4 linked regions of the Drosophila melanogaster genome follow. The protein of the gene in region 2 purifies or fractionates together with the protein of the main gene of each other region. This does not show direct contact. Each region holds a gene or a part of one and is shown on either strand. Other genes may lie near its edges.

What was found.
Region 1: the proteins of Atg4a (region 2) and Cyp6d4 purify together in Drosophila melanogaster (affinity purification with mass spectrometry, with the first as the bait; one large-scale study listed by BioGRID). This does not show direct contact.
Region 3: the proteins of Atg4a (region 2) and Cyp6a13 purify together in Drosophila melanogaster (affinity purification with mass spectrometry, with the first as the bait; one large-scale study listed by BioGRID). This does not show direct contact.
Region 4: the proteins of Atg4a (region 2) and Cyp9f2 purify together in Drosophila melanogaster (affinity purification with mass spectrometry, with the first as the bait; one large-scale study listed by BioGRID). This does not show direct contact.

Annotation. Positions count from the first base shown.
Region 1 is NT_033777.3:22,696,648-22,701,672, reverse strand, and holds Cyp6d4 (cytochrome P450 6d4), read right to left. Parts: upstream 3,355-5,025; 5' UTR 3,278-3,354; coding exon 2,589-3,277; intron 2,532-2,588; coding exon 2,329-2,531; intron 2,269-2,328; coding exon 1,613-2,268; 3' UTR 1,366-1,612; downstream 1-1,365. Other genes in the region: CCAP (crustacean cardioactive peptide), read left to right, coding at 194-304, 506-569, 623-915; cd (cardinal), read right to left, coding at 3,741-4,036, 4,097-4,266, 4,324-5,025. UniProt on the Drosophila melanogaster protein: May be involved in the metabolism of insect hormones and in the breakdown of synthetic insecticides.
Region 2 is NT_033779.5:1,079,101-1,084,450, forward strand, and holds Atg4a (Autophagy-related 4a), read left to right. Parts: upstream 1-1,810; 5' UTR 1,811-2,143; coding exon 2,144-2,327; intron 2,328-2,477; coding exon 2,478-2,820; intron 2,821-2,876; coding exon 2,877-2,956; intron 2,957-3,019; coding exon 3,020-3,565; intron 3,566-3,688; coding exon 3,689-3,771; 3' UTR 3,772-4,278; downstream 4,279-5,350. Other genes in the region: ast (asteroid), read left to right, coding at 21-1,610; CG4629 (uncharacterized protein), read right to left, coding at 4,919-5,350.
Region 3 is NT_033778.4:8,568,229-8,572,913, reverse strand, and holds Cyp6a13 (cytochrome P450 6a13), read right to left. Parts: upstream 2,416-4,685; 5' UTR 2,384-2,415; coding exon 902-2,383; 3' UTR 767-901; downstream 1-766. UniProt on the Drosophila melanogaster protein: May be involved in the metabolism of insect hormones and in the breakdown of synthetic insecticides.
Region 4 is NT_033777.3:12,402,624-12,408,444, forward strand, and holds Cyp9f2 (cytochrome P450 9f2), read right to left. Parts: upstream 3,406-5,821; 5' UTR 3,286-3,405; coding exon 3,080-3,285; intron 2,267-3,079; coding exon 1,747-2,266; intron 1,686-1,746; coding exon 1,028-1,685; intron 971-1,027; coding exon 804-970; 3' UTR 717-803; downstream 1-716. Other genes in the region: Sol1, read left to right, coding at 1-257; CG5167 (uncharacterized protein), read left to right, coding at 4,101-5,396; CG5196 (uncharacterized protein), read left to right, coding at 5,789-5,821. UniProt on the Drosophila melanogaster protein: May be involved in the metabolism of insect hormones and in the breakdown of synthetic insecticides.

The sequences.
Region 1 (5,025 bases), on a different chromosome or scaffold from region 2:
AGCCATTAAGTGGCAACCAAAATACATTCCAGGCCCAGCTGGTGGTCCTGTCGCCTTCTGAAAGCAACAAGTCTCACATTGCGTAGCCGAGATGTTGACCAAGGCCCAAGCTGCGGCCACTTTCATTTGGCTTTCGAGTGTTAAGCGCGTCGGTTGCTAAGTGGATCCTTATTAAAAAAAACACACTCCTGCAATGAGAACGTCCATGAGGATTTCCCTGAGGCTGCTTGCACTCCTGGCTTGTGCCATTTGCTCTCAGGCTTCGCTGGAAAGGGAGAACAACGAGGGCACCAATATGGCAAATGTGAGTTATCAATGGATTAACTATTTCATTAAGACCCAACAGAAAGTGGAAGTAAATTGTGAAATTCGTTAAATTAGTTAAGCGGAGTTATAATCTAAGTTGATAACGCGACGCATTGTTTAACGTTCATTTACATACCTAATTAAATAGTTGTTACCTGATTAGTTTTGATATAAATATAATTTATCGTCTTATTTGCAGCACAAGCTAAGTGGCGTTATACAATGGAAGTACGAGAAGCGACCGTTTTGCAATGCATTTACAGGTAATTTTAATACAATATATAATAATATCCATTACAATCCGGACGATTTACAGGCTGTGGACGAAAGCGTACGTATCCCTCGTATCCGCCATTCTCGCTATTCAAACGCAACGAAGTCGAAGAGAAACCCTATAACAATGAGTATTTATCCGAAGGTCTAAGTGATTTGATCGATATCAATGCCGAGCCAGCTGTGGAAAATGTTCAAAAGCAAATCATGTCGCAGGCCAAAATCTTCGAGGCCATCAAAGAAGCCAGCAAGGAAATCTTTCGGCAAAAGAACAAACAGAAAATGTTGCAAAATGAAAAGGAGATGCAGCAATTGGAGGAGCGCGAAAGCAAATAAATCGAAATAATCGGATAAATCGGAATTATCGGAATAGTCGGATTTCTGGAAAGCAAATTGACTGGACGGTTAGCACACTGCTTTTGTTATTGTACATACTATCTTTATCCATGACTCCTTGAATTGTGAAGAATTCCACAGCACTGGCATTGCATTCAATAAAAATTGTTGACCTCACTTTTTGTTGTTTTCTGGTCTATTGTATTTATTGGTAATACATCTGATTATAGAAAACGGTTTAGAAAGTTCATTATTTTTACCACACTGAATATACAATATGTTACCCTATGCTATCTCTTGGTGACATTAGTAATTGGTAATCGCAGTTGGTTCTCGTATCATTGCATACTTATGATAACGATAAGGACAATCATAAAAGGTATTTCAACAGCAAACAGATGGATTGCACCTAGGCAACTTTAGCAAATAAATTAACAAAACACACATATTCATTTCAACTTTATAATTTACATAATACCTATAAATAGAGAGCGAGTTAAAAGTAACATTATTATAACAAGAAACTATGTTAATTCATAAAAGTTATTTTCGAATTTAAATATTAATTAATGATTTGATAATGAATTTATTGTACACTTTTTGTTTTTTATCTGACGGTAATCTCTTATCATTCCAAATAATCGGAGTGATTTGCTAGCCACTTAACTATTGTATTTCATCATTGCAATTGTAATTTTTATGATAATTTAGGCACTCTTTTGGACAAACGCACTCGCACTCCATGTTTGGGAATCAAGGCAATGCCACTGTTCTCGAACTCTATTTCGCTCCTGCTCATCACCTCGACATTGAAGTTCTGTAGGATCTTGATGATGGCCAGTTTGGAGTTAATACGACCCATCCTCTGGGCAATGCAAATCCTGGGACCCTCGCCAAACGGCATGAATGCAGTGGGATTATAATTGCGACTCTCCTCCGAGAAGCGTTCGGGATCATAGGTCTCGGGATCCGGGAAGTACTCTGCATCATGGTGAATGCCGTACAGGGAGATCACAACTGGCGTTCCCTTCGGAATGACGTGGTTGGTGTCGGGTACTGTGTAGTCCTGGGTGCATTCACGATTCAGAATGGGAAGACCCGGATATTTGCGAATGGTTTCCTGCACACACAGGTCCAAAAATTCCATCTTGTTCAGGGAATCGTAGGTGATCTTTCCGTCGTTTTTGGCCAGTGTCTCGTCCACTTCATCCTGCAGGCGCTTCAGTAGCTCTGGATACTGAGCCAGCTCGTAGATGGTAAAGGCTGCAGTCGATCCGGTGGTCTCCTGACCAGCGATGTAGAATATAAAAGCCTGAGCGGTGATGGCCTCCAAGGATATGGTTTTAATATGACCTGAAAACGTTAAACCACTCAATCTATCTTGATTAGAATTTAACTTGTATTATGACTTACCATCGGGTGTCTTCTGAATGCTAAAGGACTTCTCGTCATTCTCGTCTATCTTGCCGGTATTCCTCAGCTGAATGAGCAACTGCAACAGATCCTTGCGCACTATTCCATGTTTCTCGCGATACTCAACGGTTTCCTTGACAATCTGCAACATGGCCAGGCCAACTGGATTTTTAAAACCTATTCTGAATAGGAACTGTGCTATCCTACAAGAACATCCATTAGACACACCATAGCAAAACTCACTCTCACTTATTACTTACGAGGGCACCAGGAAGATCATCATGCCGAACATGGCATTGAATCTATTATTGGCTCTGGCCAACGACACCAGTTTACGGAACTTGTTATCAGGATTTTCGAAGCTATTTACATCCAAGCCAAAGATAGTCGAGGCTATAATGTCAATGGCATAGTTTTGCATCACTTTCTTTATGTCCACCTCCTTGAAGCCCTCCTCCGGCAGCTCCTTTTGCAGATGGGCCACCATCTTGTCACCAATATCCTCGGATGTGCTGAACATGCTCTTCAACTTTCCGGATGTGAAACATGGCGACAACATGTGCCTCATCGATCGCCAGCTCTGACCGCGAAGCGAGAAGATATTGGCCGACAGGGGATCCCGTTCCTCATCAACGTAAACGCCGCGATCGTGGAAACTGGCGAAATCCTGGGCCAGAACACGGCGAGCCAGATCGGCGTCTCTGATCAAAACAGCCGGACGGAAGAGCAAATAAATGCCCAAGACGCGCTCTTTACTCTTCACATACACATCGTAGATGGCCAAGCCCATGCTCTTCTCCTGCCGCCACACACTGTCCAAGCAACCGAATGGAATCCCGGAGTGTTTTTCAAATGGAAATCCGCGTCGCTCCCAGTACTCATAGTGGCGCTTCAGATAGAACCACGCCAAAGTCAATAGCGTTACGGCCAATAAAATCAGCGAAAACATAGTCGAAGTAGTGCACCTTTTCTTTTTTTTAAATCCACCCTTTCTCTGCGAAAGTCAATATATAACTGACTATCAAACTGGAGAGCCTCCACTTATATGCGCTGAAATTCGTCGATTATTTGTTCTCTTTGGCAGTAACGTTCTCTTAATTCTTTACAGCGAAGAATTCTAAATGAACAAAGCTACATTGATAGTCTTGATGACAGCTTTATATTAATGGTGAAATGCAAAACAAAGCTCTTATGTTATAAGCTAACAATTATTATATACAAAATACTTAAAAGTTGATTTATAATCTTAGAATTCGTTGACTTATTGTTGATTTATGATGGGCTGCTGTTTAGTTAACTAACTTTAGCATAGCAACTCTATTTTAAAATAGAAGGAACCGGTTTAGAAGTATATGTTTTTTATAATATTTAATATTAAATCCTTCCTAATCAAAATTGAATCTTGTTTCTAACTAGATTCCTTTATCAATATGTAGGGTTACGTTGTGGGCTTGATGATTTGCCTTGGACATTACTCGCACCGAAGTGGATCCCCTGCTTATGCCGGCACTATGAAGATCCTGGGGCTGTTGCTTCTCGGACCAGGGTTCGAAATTGAAATGGAATCCCTCCAGGTCCTGGCAATCCACATGGGGATTACCTCCATCGCGCAGTCTCTGCATAACATGCTCCCTCACTCGGGTGATTCCATCTGAGTTGCGACAAATGATGGCGGCCAGACTGGTCTTGTAGATCTCCGCCAATTGAGCTTATGAATCAGGATAAACACGATTCTTAATGAGAAAATAGGACTTCCAAGGACTCTCACCTTTGGTGAACTTCTGTGGGCCCATTTTCCGTTCGTACCAATGGGAGTCACCTAGTTTGAGGCGTAGGAACTGGTCGGAAACCATGCAGCTGAGCAACGGACCAAAAATAGCTCCATCCAGTGGCGGCTCACTAAGTGCACCCGTATAGACGTCCACATCCTGCGGAGATCTAAAAACCAAAAGTGTTTACCTTTAAGGCAATACTATAATCGAGAACTTTACTTACTCATAAATCTGCCGGATGGAGTCCAGAGTAGCGTTGTCAATGGCCTGTGACATCTCCTCCCACGTGTCCACCGTCGGCAGGCGGCAATGGCGACGGAAGACTGGATACGAGGGTATGCCATGATCCCGACCCCTCTGAATGTTTAAGGATACCAAATCGAGTCCACAAAGAGGCACCCTATCCTCTGCGGTGCCTTCGAAAAGCTTTTGCGTGACTTCCAGTGAAAAGAAGCGATCCACTTGCATCACCGGCGTATTGGCCGCTGTCATCAGGGCGTGGTCAATGCCATGCTCCGCCCAGAGCGAGAATGGATTGAAGAGCATCTTGTGCAGTTCGATGGCCTCGGGAGTGCTGTTATCCCTCGAGATATTAAACAATCCCGGTAGAAGAGTGTGTGCAAATCGAAATGCGGCTGCTGCAAAGCAATTGGCAATACTTGGATCCACCTCCGGGTCATACGTATCCGGAGCATTTAGATTGTGTTTGGCAGGCAGCAAGCCCTTGGCCTCGCTGATATTCTTCCCCAGCAGCACTGGCAAAAACTCATTGTAGGTGATGTGTGCCATCTGAGCACCAAGAATCTTTCGGGCTTCCTGGTAGAGCCGCTCATCCTCCCAATGTGGATTCTGCTCCTGCAATTGTCGAGCCAAATAGTTGTGATGTCTAGCCCACAGCAAATGCATAGATGTGAGCAACAGGTTC
Region 2 (5,350 bases):
TAAAAATAATATTCTTGCAGAACCAGCGTGATTCCCTGGTCTCCCAAGTGAATGCAGCCATCTCTGGTTACTCCAACGAGTTGTGCCACGCCTACGATTACTTCGATGAGCACTACGAGAATGCTTTTCCTTATATAGAACCCGTCAGTGAAGAGGAATGCAGCGACGATGAACATTCGTCTAGCTCCGATGAAAAATTTTCAGATGTCGAAGAAGGCGAGGATCAGGAGGAAGCTGATAACCAAGATGAGGAGCAGCAGGAAGAAAATCAAGACGTTGATTCGGGTGATGAAGAAGAAGAGGAGGCGGATGAAGGCCTCGAGCTGGAAGTGGAAGACAAAACGCTACTCTTCCCACAATGGTTTCTGGACAAACTATATCCCGCGCACCTGCCCCGCAGCTTCGTGGACCTTATGCACCTGCGCAAGTACATCAACAACCCACAGATCGAGCACTTTCCCTTCCACGACTCCAATGAAGTGGCCTTACCCATCCTGAACTACGTGTTCGCTCTTCTCCATCACGTAGAGTGTGAGAAAATTGAGCTACCATTAGAAGTGGATATGGATATAGAGGGTTCGACAGTCCCCTATCTCACCTACCTCACCAGAGCTCTGCGAGTGACGAACGTGAGGTATTTCAAGATGCCCATTGAAAAGAAGCCTGCCTATCCGTTTGATCCTCTTTCGCCGGATGCTAGGCATTTAAGAGCTGTATTCGAAGACAATGCTCCCAATGCGGATACGGAGAAGTTGTTCAGCAAGCTCGACCAGTTGCCGGAGGACCTGAGGCTGTACTTTCTGGCCATTATCTACTGGTTACATCGCTCGGAGCACTGTGATTTGCTGCATCTTCACTCGCTGATCCTTAGTTTGGTTGTCCTACGAACCATAGATGTTACAATCCCTGCTGAACGAGAGGTGAAAACCTTCCTTAAAAGATTTGGCAAGACATTGAAAGCAGAGCGAGCAGTGAGGGATAAGGAAGCTGCCGAGGGAATTAAGCGCGGCATCAAACCTGCTCTGCTAGAGCTTTCTGTTCCAGATCGGATGGCTCATGTACCCAAATCGGACTGCTATTTAACTCAGGAACGCCTACTGCCGCACTTCCATATGCAGGAGATCTTCAAAAAGAAGTTTGACTTGTACTCCACCACGGTTATCCACGCATTTGCTGAATTTCAGGCTGTGGTTTACCAACTCAATGGGCTAAATTCTCTTTTGGATTTTCCACTTTTGAGTCCGAGGATGAACCAGCTTTATTGCGGCGCCTTTCTCTACAACATGTATGATGTACTGAGGAATCGTGCCGATGTCCGCTACCATGTTGAGAACTTCCTGCTGCCCGACTCCAAGTTGATGTTCGATTTCTATTGCTACTTGTACGACTGGTGCGCGGAGTTTATACCAACTTGGAAGCGATTGGAGGTGGATCCGACGGCGGCAAAGGCCCTGCAGAAGAAGCGATTGAAGAAGCAGCGTCAGGCGGCTAGGAAAGTGGAGCTAAGGGAGGCCATCGCGGATCCCAATGCGGAAATGGTCGAGGATGCCGATCCAGAAAACGACTTCTTCGATCTGAACAACAAATTCTGCGCACTCAAGGTAGCGTAGCTAGTTTGAAGTCCCGCACGTGCAATTTTGAAGTTTTTACATTGTTACAAATCTATACTTTGCGTAAAATAAGAAAAAAATTAAATATTTTTTAAAAAACTTCATTTTTGAATGCATTTCATTAACAGTTTGGAAAAATACTGTTATTTCCTATGTTATGGTCATGTTAAGTGCAAGGTTCGGTATTTTGGCAAAGTAAAATACCTTATCAGTTGCGGTCATACTAACAGCTACGTCACTGCGTTGTAATCAACAAAAAAGAAAAATAAATCAAACTAAACCAGCCGCAGACTGATCAAATGCTGGTTATCGCATAGTTTGTAATCAGCGCCCGTCACTGCCAACAACAAATGAAACCCCTGTGACCTCGGGCCAGAAGCAGGAGCATTGCCGTTGCTGCCAGCGAAAACACAGGCCAAAACAAAGGCCCACCCGAAAAACAGAACGTCATTCGAAGGCAATTATCGTATAGACGAGCAGCGGAGGCCCTGGTGTCCACCCCCTTCTCCTTCTGCCAGCGCACCGGGCAGTAGATGCTGGTTGGACTCAGCGACCAGCTAGCGCGGATCATGGAGAGCGTCTTCGAGGCGTACTTGGGCCCAGACAGCGTCCTCGCTAGTGCAGTTGGCCAGGCGGTGGGCAGCGGAGAGCCGGAGGACATTCCCCGAAGAAACACCGACGTCTGGGTCCTGGGAAAGAAGTACAACGCCATACAGGGTAAGATGAGACCTTATTTAATGCTGTCATATGGGTACAAATCTAGCATATTGGTCAGCATGAGTCATAAGGGGTTTCCCAAACCTTTTTTCGATTATCATCGATGGATACCAAACTGAAATCCATAATCAACACCCTATCCCTTTTCAGAGCTAGAGCTCATCCGACGGGACATTCAGTCGCGCCTGTGGTGCACATATCGCCATGGATTTTCGCCGTTGGGAGAAGTCCAGCTCACCACGGACAAGGGCTGGGGCTGCATGCTGCGCTGTGGTCAGATGGTTCTCGCCCAGGCCCTGATCGACTTACATTTGGGACGCGACTGGTTCTGGACGCCGGACTGCCGTGATGCCACCTACCTCAAGATCGTGAACCGTTTTGAAGACGTAAGGAATAGCTTCTACTCCATACACCAGATTGCCCAGATGGGAGAGTCCCAGAACAAAGCGGTCGGCGAGTGGCTGGGACCGAATACAGTAGCCCAGATTCTCAAGTAAGACCATTGGCCTAACATGGTGGATAAGTGGTATAATCAATTGCTGATTTCAGAAAACTAGTGCGCTTCGATGACTGGAGCTCCCTGGCGATTCACGTGGCCATGGATAGCACAGTGGTATTGGATGACGTATGTAAGTGTGGAAAATGGCCTAAATAGCCCGACTATTTGCCTAACAACATTGTCCACTTTGTAGATGCGTCGTGCCGAGAAGGAGGCTCGTGGAAGCCACTGCTGCTCATAATCCCCCTGCGCCTGGGCATCACAGACATTAACCCGCTTTACGTGCCTGCCTTAAAGCGCTGCCTTGAACTAGACAGCAGTTGTGGCATGATCGGAGGTCGACCAAACCAGGCTCTGTACTTCCTGGGCTATGTGGACGATGAGGTTCTCTACCTAGATCCTCATACCACGCAGAGAACGGGCGCCGTGGCACAGAAAACTGCTGCGGCAGAACAGGACTACGACGAGACCTACCATCAAAAGCATGCTGCTCGCCTGAACTTCTCCGCCATGGACCCCTCGCTGGCGGTTTGTTTCCTCTGCAAGACCAGTGATAGTTTCGAGTCCCTGTTAACCAAGTTGAAGGAGGAGGTGCTCAGCCTCTGCTCGCCTGCGCTCTTCGAGATCAGTCAAACCCGCGCGGTCGATTGGGACACCACGGAGGACATCGACTGGCCCACCATGCCGGACATCGATTGGCCTGCGGGCACCTCGGATTCGGACTCTTTTGCCATAGTTGGTAAGTTGGTTCTGTTGAAGCTGACCATTAAGACCATTATTTATAACTTCACAGCTTGTAATCTGAATCAACAGTCCGAAATTTCACTCCGATTTCACTCAATAAATTCACTCCATTTTCCAGAAGAGAGCGGCAGGGACAGCGACGCCGGCTGTAGCGGCGCCATTGGCAGCGGCAAAAAGCCCAGTGAGAGAGCCGTCATTTGAGAGGTCGCCGGCGGAGCGCCTGCGCCTGCGCCGCACCAGAGCAGATGAAGCCCAGCCAGGCGAAAGTGGAGCACCCAATGAGGAGAAAGAGAGTGGGCCGGGAGGTCGAGCCCCTGCGGATGCTGCGAATGCAATAAACTAAGGCTAAAGTGCATAATTAGACGAGTGGTTGAGATTTAGATTTTAGTATGTTTACGATTTGTACGAATGCGGTTCTTAGCGATTCATAATGCTGCTTTATTGTACGCGATTGACTCCACGGGAGACAATTTGGCAAAACACACACACACAGAGCGACACTTACGGACACATACCGCTTTTTGATGATCAATTAAACATTTTTATGCAACGTTGTACATTGAAGACTCGATGAGATCGAGGCAATCGCCTTAGCCCGGTGTGTATTTATATGTTTGTAATCGTAATATTCATTTTCCTTTCGTATATTCGTCTGTATATGCTCAAAAATGGACCAACAACTAAATACATAATACTTGGACTATATGTATATATCTATATATGTATATATATATGTATGTATGTATATATCAACTTTGCCATCCGCCTCTGGACTCAACGGCTGGACAAACTCAAGCTACACGAACCAAGGAACTTTCTCGAATGAGTAACCAGGATGAGGATGCAGGAATCTACGTTAACAACAAACACGCGGCTACGCAGCTGGCGAATTGACACTAATTGGGCTTGACCTTTGGCCTTCCGGGCTGATTCCCGCAGAAAGGCAAACTGGGATTTGCAGATCAGAGTATCCAACTGTCTCCTACTATCGGAAGATAATCCTTTCTATTCATATTCAAGCGACTTATGTTTCTTGCGCTTCGAATGCATTTAACTTTTGCAATTCATCCATCCTAATTCTCGATATTCTGGTTAAATTCTATGTTGTATTCACTATAAAATTTTCTAATCTCAATTTGTTGGTTCAAAATCAAGCACTGGATATTTAAAGCTGATCGAAACGGACTAGCCTCTAGTAGGAAAGGTTTTTGAGCTACTATTTGAGTTCCTTGAACCTTAGATTCCTTTCAAAAGCGACACACCCAGTTTGCCTTTCCTCTCGGGGAACTCAAAGACCCAGCGGAACCAGGAGAGTAATATGAACATTCAACAACTATTTTCGGATGTCTTAGAGTATGCAGCACGACCTCTCAATCCGCTTCTCCACCTTGGGCTCGCTGTGCAGTGCCATCTCCACGTGCTTTCGTGCCAGCCAGGACTGCTTCTGCAACCGATTGACCACGATCCTGTAGGCGCCAATGATGTCGGAGCGCGGCCCGCTCTGCCTGGCGTTGATCAGCATCTCGGAGGTGAGGCCCAGCTCGGCCAGGATCTGGCGTGCCTCGAACTCCAGGGCACCTAGCTGGCTCAGATCCTCGGTGTTCGTGGGCAGCATGACGCAGCTGCCCGTCTCCGCGTCGTAGTTCTTGAACAGGGGGCAATCCTCGGCCACCTCCACATTCCACGGATTGATCTTGGCCGAACCGATTGACTGTCCACCGTTGGCCAGCTGCTTCTCCGGTTCCGTTTCCATGGGCGTGACCTTCTTCTTCAGGCTGCC
Region 3 (4,685 bases), on a different chromosome or scaffold from region 2:
CAGGAGCCTGTATCATCCGATTTCATTTTGATAATAACAGGTTTGAAAAGATGCGCATTTACTGAGTTGGTAAGAAACTGACTGATAACAAACTTTTCCAGACGCTATATTAGTCAGCTTTTAAGTGTGAGTAAAGCTGAGTCCATGGGTTTGTCCATGTCATCCACCAACTTGAGTGCTATAGCAATTAGCTTTATTGTCGCTTAAGAAATGCTATGGAACTGTAATAATGTAATAATATGTCTGTAATAAATGCTTAACTTATGATTTGATAATAAAATTTTCATTTCACAATTTAAGTAAATGTGGAGTAAGTTTTTCCCATGTGAAAACTGAATTACTTTATTTATTTATTTTGAAACATAACATAAAGTTTTCCCTAAATATTTAGAAATATTTTTGTTCTGTAATGTATCTTATCTTATTATAATTTGGCTTGCCAAACGTTAGGACAACCTAAATTAGATTTTAAACTATCCTTGTTATTAAAGATTTCTAAATTAAATTTTATTATTATAAAGCTTTTGAGCACAGTATTCTGACAGAGAGTATATACAAGACTGGCTTTTAAAAGCTTTTATTTTATATGTATGTACATACATCTAAAATTCGGATTGGTTAATATTTAAATTCAAAGACACCTTCTTTTAAGAATTCAAATTTCCAGTCAAAACATATTTTTAAGTCGTTTCTCTCCCTCTCTAAAATTGAATTCTTTTTTATTTATTTATCTATCATTATTCAATTGTAAAAAAAGCTTTTTGATACTAGACAGTTTCTTTGTGTTTATTTGTATAATGTAGGGATTAATGCAATCTTGGAACGCAGTCTTTTGTAGATAAGAGTTTTCCTATACATATTTCGCGCTGTCAGGATTATACACATTTTCAGATAACAACTATTATGGTCTTTCAAGTCCTTCCATCCTCAAATGAACTCCCTCCTGGGTGGATATCAGGAAATTACGACTGGAAAACTTCAGCGGGATCTGTGTTTTCTCCGACCTGCTGAACTTAAAATCCCTTAGAAGGTATACAAGACCCACCTTCACTTGCAGTTTACCAAAACGCTCGCCTATGCAATTTCGAGGACCCTCGCCAAAAGGCAAATAGGCGAAAGGATGCCTAGCCTTAATCTCTTCTGGCTCAAAGCGACTGGGATCAAACTTTTCTGGATCGGGATAAAGCTCTGGGTCGTGATGAATACTATGCACAGGTATTATTATCTTAGATCCCGGCTCCAGGATTAGGTTGCTATTCGGTATCTGGTACTCCTTGGTGGAACGCCTCAGTAAGTGAGGCAGTATAGGATACTTGCGAAGCGTCTCGGCAACCACTTGGTCCAGGTAGGGCATCTCCTGAACGGAGTCGTACGTGAGCTTTTGGTTGTTGCGTTTCAAAACGGCGAGTACCTCAACCCGTAGCCTTTCTTGGACATCGGGGTTGAGGGCCAGCTCATACAGGCAGAAGGACATGGTGGTGGAGGAGGTGTCGAACCCGGCCAAAAAGAAAACCAATGCCTGGGCCGCAATCTGCTCGAAGGAGAGGGCGTCTTTTACTCCCTCCTCACCCAATTCCATTAGTAGTTGGATCAGGTCGTTGCGATGAATATTCTCCCGTCGCCTGTAGTCCAATGTCTGGCGTACCGTGTCCAAGAAGAACTCACTGACCTCCGGGCGAAAAAGCCTGAAGCGCAGCTTCCTAGCCAACTCCGGCTGGGCAAACATAAAGGCCTGGACGAGCACCGAATGCAGGGGCTCCTGGGTCACTGATCGGCCCATTCGCCGGAACTGCGACTCCGGATCCTGGAGACTATTACACTCGAGGCCGAAGGCACAGCTGCCGATCACATCCGTGGTGAACCTGGCACACAGATCCTTTGCCTCTATCTCGCCGACCTGGAGGCGACACGCCTGCGTTAGCTTCTCGCCCACCTCCACCATGTTGGGGAACATGAATTTCATCTTGCCGGAGGTGAACACCTGCGTCAAATTCTGGCGCAACCAGCGCCACTCCGGTCCGTCCAGGAAGAGAAGGTTCCCGGTCAGTGGATCGTCCCGCACATTATGGAAGAGTCCTCGATCGGCGAAGCTGGAAAAGTCCCTGATCATTATATCGCGGATCAGTTCCAGATCCATGATAAACAGCGACTTGGTCATAAAAGTGAAGTAGCCGCAGTAGCGCTCCACTCCCCGAAACTTCCGGTAGATCCGCAGGTTGATATCCGTCCAGTGAAGGTCCCTTCCCAGCCCACTCATATTGCCGCGGAAGTACACGGGTCTTTCTCCGGCGACGCCCCTTCTGCTCCAGTAGCTGTAATGCCAGCGTAGCTTGACATATAGCAGAAGTCCGACGGTGAACACGAGTACCAGGAGCGTCAGCATGGTACCTACTGCTCGATAGAATAACAACTGAGTGGAAAAGTGGGGTACATTTGATTTGCCGTCTGAAAAGCTTTCGCTTCGCTCTCTTTTCGGGGACTCTCTTTCTCTATCGGTCTTATATGCAAAGAACTGCAGTTATCTAAACATACATAAACATATCTTGCGTCATTTTAAATGAGAATCAAATGATTTGTAAACAAAATATATAGAGCGTTGCTAATGTTCAGTTTTCAGATCAATTATTATTTGAAAATTTAAAAAACTTCACTGGCTAAGCGTTATTAGATTATTTACAAGTTTTACAAGTACATTCTAAACTTTCCAAAGTTAGTAAAATTCCGAGTCTATATGCGTTCCACTATGGCGCTGCGAGTGTCCGAAGCTAAGGGGATGTCTGTTAGGTCTGAATCACCGAACTTGAAGCGCTGACACAATGCCAATCTTGGCCTGCATTTTGCCAAAACGCAGACCTATGCAACTGCGGGGTCCAAATGTTCCGAAGGGCAGATATGCAAATGGATGGCGGGAGTTGGACTTATAAGCCTTGAGGCGGCTGGAATCGAAGAGTTTTGGATGTGGATATAAGTGCGGATCGTAGTGAACACTGTGCACAGGTATCAGTAATGAAGTTCCCTTCTCAACGATGAGCTCAGTATTGCGGACCCTAAAGCTTTCTTGTGTTTCGAGCAAAAATTTAATTAATTGGATGTTTTCGAAGAGTTTCTAAAAGTTAAGTTGCGCTATCAAATTTTCCATGCTTACCAGACAAGACCTGTTCTGGATAGTTAATTTTAGCTAAGGCGTCGTAAGTAATCGCATTTCCTTCCAGAACCCTTTCTATTTCATCCCTTATTTGATTCTAGATCTCCGGCTGGAGGGCTAGTTCGTACTTACAAGAGCTCATCGTACTGGAGGAGGTCTCGAATCCAGCCAAGAAGAACACGATGGCCTGGGCAGCCATTTGCTCCAGGGTCCAGTTGTGGGAGAGATCAAACTTTGACCCTCCTTGCCTGCTACTTCGTCCTCCGCTCGGAGGACTGGTCCATAAAGTCATTCCGCTTAATGCCGGTTTAACCACCGACAAGAAGAAGTCGGTCAAATCATCGCGAAGAATCTTCATTTTTAACTTTTTAGCCAACTTGGAGTTGGTAACTGTAAATGCGGCCCTTTCTTCTGAACTCGGCTTTGGGATTCGGGATCCACTATGTGCCGATTCCCTTGATGTTTGCAATCAGCGGTAGAGGACGCTCATGGGACACTCCCCGTTCTGGCCCAATATGTGTAGGTGTTGTAATAGAATCTATATAAGCCAACATTGGGACCAAACTGAATAATGCGAGAGTGAGCCGCATGGCGATCAAGATACTTCTTTGGATTAAGCTATCCAGCACACTGGTACGCGAAGTATTTTCTTGAAAGCTTATTGTTAGGTTCTAACGAATTTTCTTCATAGATCTCGGGAGCTTAATCGGCAATCAAGCAAACAATCAAACATATGTACAATATACATATAAACATTTGCTCAGCTTTTGAGTCGACAAAGCTTTTTCCCATGGTGAACTAGACGGTACTAGAAGATAAGGTTGTAAACAAATACTATATACATTGTTTAGTTTAAGTGTACTATTGTACATTGTGATGATATAACTTATTCTTTAAGAGGTAAAGTGAAGAGCATACTAGATTCGTTGAAAAGTTTAAAAGTAAAAGTTTGAAAGTAAAATATAGAAGGAAACCCTTTGAGACTCATATATGTTAGATCAGAATCACAGGAGTTTATATGTACGCCGGACTAAATATGTATGTACATATTTTATGAAATTAGGGCTTGCATATCGCAATCTGATAGTATCTGATAGCCTCCTGTCTTTTTCTATTATTAACCTCGGAAATAACAATAGATAGAAGATAGAATAGATAGAACATTTTTATTATTCCGGTGACTCAAGTTGCCCAATCGTATTCGTTATCAAGAAATTCTGTCAACATGACCACCGTAACAGAAATCGGTGATAAAGAGTCGACGAAATGTTTGGTCTAATGCCTAATGCCGCAAAAATTTGTTGGTAATGCTGAAAAGAGGGGACAATATCAGTTGGGGCTCTATAAATGTACCCGTTATCGCTATAACAATTAATGCAAATGAATTCTTTGTTTCGAGCTTATTTTCCAAGGGGCAAAGAGCTGGCAAGCAATTTCATGAAAAATACACATGTTCAGACATTTAGCTTGCAGCTCAAAGTTTTCTTCTGAATGCGCAGTTGTAGCCTCCTTCCAGGACACTTTTTTATTCGACTCCTAG
Region 4 (5,821 bases), on a different chromosome or scaffold from region 2:
TTCCCGATTTTGAAATGCGTTCTGATGGACGTTTCTTTCGAGTCACCTTGCATTCCAATGATCGCTTTGTGGCCATCGGATTCCGCGCCCTGTACACCTTTGAAACCGTTTCAGTGAATAATTCCATCACCGATCTTCGGGATAATGCCTCCATGCAGAGTTTCGTCTCAACAGCGTCAACTCAGCCGGTTGCAAATGTAAACAAATTAATTGCATGTATCTTATGCACTTATAAAGCATACCAATCTTATGTTTAAAATATAGAGACAAAATATTTCGAAATTTTGTTTTCTAATTCTTTAATAAATTTTAATAATTTTTTTCTATTTTAATGGCACACAACTTCATTAAATTTAAATATTTAATCTTGGCCAAATTATCGTTTTAAAAGCAATCGATTTCATGTTGGCTATCGAAGTTTATGCGTAGTAGTTCAAGAACTAACAATTTAAGTTGAGGGATTTTAAGTATTAGGATGTAAATTAAACGTGATATCATCGATAAAAACTCCGCCAAGCATTTTCATTTTCAATAGTTTCTGGTAAAAATTATTTATTTAATTTCAACTTCATTATCAGAGTTACCGTGTAAACGAGCCACTCGTTGTTATCTGCAATCGATCTTTACCTGTTCGATTCAGTTTTGTAGAGTCACGACATAAGTATATGCTATCTTTTTATCATTTTTGGTATAAATTAAAAACAAAGAAACAAATTACCATTAATTGTTTAAATTTAATAATGTCAACTTCTTTAAAACATAACATTCAACAAAACATATTATTATTTTGATCGTTTATAAGATTAGTTCCTTTGAACAAGTTTAATCCAAAAGCCGCCTTTGGGTGACAACTGAAAACCGGAAGTAATGAGCTCTAGTGGAATGCAGGATTTCTTGGCAGGGGCAAAGCGGTAGTCCTTCAAAAGATAGTAGATAACAGCCTTTGCTTCAAGTAGAGCGAATCGGGAACCTATAATAAATACATTTTACATTTTTTCGAAGAACAATTTTGAATCAATCAACTTACCAATGCAGTTGCGTTGACCCAGGCCAAAGGGGAAGTATGTGAATGGCTGAATAGACTCCTTGTTCTCATCGCTAAAACGTTCCGGATCGAACTTCATAGGGTTCTCAAAGTACTTGGGATCACGATGGAAGCCGCATGTAGGCAGCCAGATGACATCGCCCTTCTTGACCTCGACTTTCTGGCCATCCACATCGAAGGTGATATCCTTGTTGCATTCTCGATCGACGGCAATTGCCGCCGGCCACTTTCGCAGAACCTCGTTGACGACCTGATCCAGATACTTCATGCCCATAATTGCCTCATAGGTCAGTTCTTTGCCCTCCAGGTCTTGGTCCACTTGCTGTACCTCCTCGTATAGCCTCTGCTGCACATCCTGGTTCTCCATTAGCTCGTGAGCGGTGAAGCACATCAGCACCGCCGAAGTCTCGAAGCCAGCAAAGAAGAACACGAAACACTGGGCGACAATGTCGCGATCGCTCCACTCGCGAACGGCAGATGCCTTGGTCTTCTCCGTCTGGATGATACCACGAGCCTCCATCAGCATGTTTATCATGTCGGGACGTACAATATTGTGCTCCTGTCGGTATTTCATAGCATCGAGCACCAGACGCACGAAATACTGAGTGCTTTTCCTATCGAAAAGCTCGACCTTAAGGATCTACAAGGATTATTAAAATTAAGGAATATATTTTTTTGATATGTGTGTATGCTGTGCCAACCTTATTAAGACCCTTCAATGCGAAGAACAACATGAACTTCATGCTCTGCAGGAATGTAAATGTGGTCAGCTTTTTTCCCATCTGATAGAAGGTATTTTCGCGATCCTTGAACGAGTTCACTTGCAGTCCAAAGGCTGTCGAGGCGATCACATCATTGGTGAATCGTGTGCAGTAGTCCTTCATGTCCAGTTCATTCTCCTGAACCCTTGAATCATCCTGCTTAAGACAGTCCACGGCCTCCTTGGCCACCTGGTTCATCAGCTGGAACATCTGACGCATTTTGCTGCCTGTAAATGCCGGACTCAGAGTGCTTCGCATATCCTTCCACCGAGCATCTCGCATGGAGAACAGCGAGCTGCCGAAAAGGTTACTCATGTCATGTGGATCATCATCGCTGCTGGTGGCAAACACATTGCGATGATTGATAAAGTGATCGAAGTCCTTTATGGTTATCTGCTTGATAAGATCTGGGTCGCGCACCATTAAAAGTGGTTGTCGCTGCTCAAAGATACCAAAAAATCTAAAAAAAATAATAATGTTAATGACCGATAAGCTTTTTGTGAGTCACACACTGATAAATCAAATCAGAAATTATTAATCGTGCGCTCAACAAGTTTAGAAAACGATAACAGAAATTCGAGTTTATGCATGGCTAGCGTTGTTCATTACCTATCCGACGAATTTTCAATTAACCCATCTCGATTTCTTTTTGGAAAACTATAAATTTATAAAGCGGATTTCTCGTATTGGTCTATAAATAAATCATATGTACATTAAATCCAATTGAAAAGGCTGAGTACAATAATGATTGCATGTTTATAAAGTAACAAAAAGGGTAAAGTCATACAAAGAGTTGCCCCAATATGAAGTTAATTAATAAATTAGATAACCTTATCGTTATAGCACTTTTCAGGAGCTTTATCAATTATTTTTCCTATCAAGTTTGCCGTCCGAGACAAACAACATTTAAAGCTGTCGTATAATCGATAAGATTATGGCAAACTAAACTAATAGAACCAAGCATTTCGCCAATTATCTTGGCAGTTACACACTGCTTTAGATAAAAGACTTAACAAAATATAATAGAGTATTTCTGAATTTCTGTAATTGTATATTCAAAACGTAGTCGAACGCAGCCGCACCCACTAAATGTGTGTATAGATAGATCACTGATTGCCTGACCTTGACATACGATTTTATATAGGCTTGTACGCAATGCTGGAGGCCAGTAGATACACACTTGTTCCAAACGTGTTTTAAGTGCAAGTGCAAGTGAGCCGGATGCATATTAGGTAATCAACTTATTAAATCCGGATCAATGAATTTAACTCACTTCTTACTTCCGCCTTTGGTGTAGAGATCACAGACTATGTCAAACATGGCCCTCTTCCGCAGGAACATGCCGGCCATGTTGCCAAAGTAGAGCACTGGCTTTTCATAGGCGATGCCCCTATCCTTGAAGAAATCATTGTTGGCGGACGCCCAACGGTAGAACAAGGCGGCAGCGATCGCAAATAGGGCGAAGAACTCCCACAACATGTTGACCCTAGCTTGGCGATCTAAGCGTCCAGAATATAACTAACTACGCCACAAACAATCGGGAGCGTTTTGTTGTCCCCACGCAGAGCTTTCTAACAAAGCTTCGTGTACTGCATTTGATAAAATACTTGTTGTCTGTAATACACACAAGTATGTACAAATTTCTGAGCGCAAATGATTTAGAATATCACTCATCATTTCATTATCACGGCGTGTTGGAGAAAATGCTGACGACTCTGAGCATACCAATATTATGTTTAAAATATAGAAACAGAATATTTCGAAATTCTGTTTTCTAATTCTTTAATATATATTTTTTCTATTTTAATGGCACACAACTTCATTAAATTCATATATTTAAACTTGGCCAATTTATCGTTTTAAAATTCATCGATTTCTTGTTGGCTATCGAAGTTTATGCGTAGTAGTTCGAGAACTAACAATTTGATCTGAGGGATTTTAAGTATTAGGATGTAAATTAAACCATCATCACCATAAATTAAATTATCATCGATAAAAAAGGACGCAAAGCATTTTCATTTTCAATAGTTTCTAGTAAAAATATTTTATTTCATTTCAACTTCATTATCCGAGTTACTAGCCACTTGTTGCTATCTGCAATCGATCTTTACCTGTTCGATTCAGTTTTGTACAGTCACGACGCTACTATCTTCAATAAATACAGCTCTTATACGGTGCGATTAGCATTATTAACATTTCGCCAGTCGGCCGAAGCAGACGAATTACCTTTCGGTCTGGAAGTGATAAGACATTTCTAGTCAAATCATTATAGTCGCATATCTGTGGACTCTGGAATGGCGGCTAAGAAACTGGATGCCATAATCTTCGGTGCCTCCGGGTTTACCGGAAAGTACACCGTCTTCGAGGCTGTCAGCGTGCTGAAGGGCCTGCAATGGGGCATCGCCGGACGCAACCAGGAGAAGCTGCAGTCGGTGCTGCGGGAGATGGGTGCAAAGTCCAAGACAGACCTCTCCCAAACGCCGATCGTCATCGCGGACGTGAACAACGAGGCGTCACTGCTAGAGATGGCCAAACGCTGCCGCATTTTAGTCAATACGGCCGGACCATATCGGTTCTTCGGCGAGCGAGTGGTCAGGGCTTGCATCGAGGCGGGAACGCATCACGTAGACGTAAGCGGAGAGCCACAGTACATGGAAACCATGCAGCTGCGCTACCATGATCTCGCCAAGGAGCGTGGCGTGTACGTGATCAGTGCGTGCGGCTTTGATTCCATTCCCGCCGACATGGGAGTCACCTTCGTGGAGAAGAACTTCGACGGCGTGGTCAACTCAGTGGAGAACTTTGTCCATCTGGGCGTCAAGGGAGGTACCAAGGGAACGGGCAGTGCTGCACTCAACACCGGCACCTGGGAGAGCGCCATTCACGCTATCGCCAACCGGAGCGAGTCTGTGGCCATCCGGCGCAAGTTGTTTCCCGAGCGTCTGCCCAACTTTCATCCGGCTCTTAAGTCACGATCGCCGCTTTCCCGTGCCGCGGAAGTGGACAACAAGGTGATCCTGCCGTTCCCTGAAACAGATCGCTCGGTGGTGATGCGCTCGCAGCGTTTCCTTTACGAACTGGAGAAGAAGCGACCCGTTCAGATGCAGGCCTACATGACGTATCCCTCATGGTTTGCGGCCAGCGTTGTCGTGCTCTTCGCCTCTATCATTGGCATTATGGCCAAGTTCTCCTTTGGCCGCCAGCTGCTGCTTAAGTACCCCACCGTCTTCTCCGGCGGCATGGCTTCCCGCGAGGGTCCCAGTGAGGCGCGGATGGAGCGCTCCTTCTTCAGAATGACCATGAAGGCCACAGGCTGGCCCAAGTCCGAAAAACTAGCCGAGACCACCGATCAGTACACCTCTCCGCCCACAAAGACACTGACCGTGAGGGTTACGGGTCCCAATCCCGGCTATGGATCCACTTGCGTTGCACTGCTCTCCACGGCGAAGACCATCCTCAACGAAAGCGACAAGATGCCCGGATCCGGCGGAGTCCTGCCACCCGGAGCAGCCTTCCGTGGCACCAGTCTCATCAGCGAGCTGGAGAAGCACGAGCACGGCATTAAGTTTGAAATCGTGGCCAACAAATAGTGTCTTTAATGAGGTGCATTCGATGTTATTAAAAATACATATATGTATGTATGTATGTTAAATATATTTATCTTAATATGAAATTTGGATTTACGTTTGCATTACCTATTGATTAACTAATTTGTGCCATTAGCTTACTCACAAATAATTATTATTTATTTCAGGGAAGAATTAATATTTATATATGTGTTTATTACTATAACCAGTTCGGTTCCACTTCTTTTAAAAATAGTGCTCCAACTGGTTCTTGGGTTTCCAAGTATTTGCAGGCACGGTCACACCGACACAGTTTTGTTTCGATTAGTTTGGTTATCGATACCGCTGTTGGCTGCCTTCGTTGTTTACCTTTTGGTCATTAGCAATTTCGACGCCAACGCGAGAATACACAGATTATGAGTCCTGAAATATCCGGCTTCCGGCGGTTC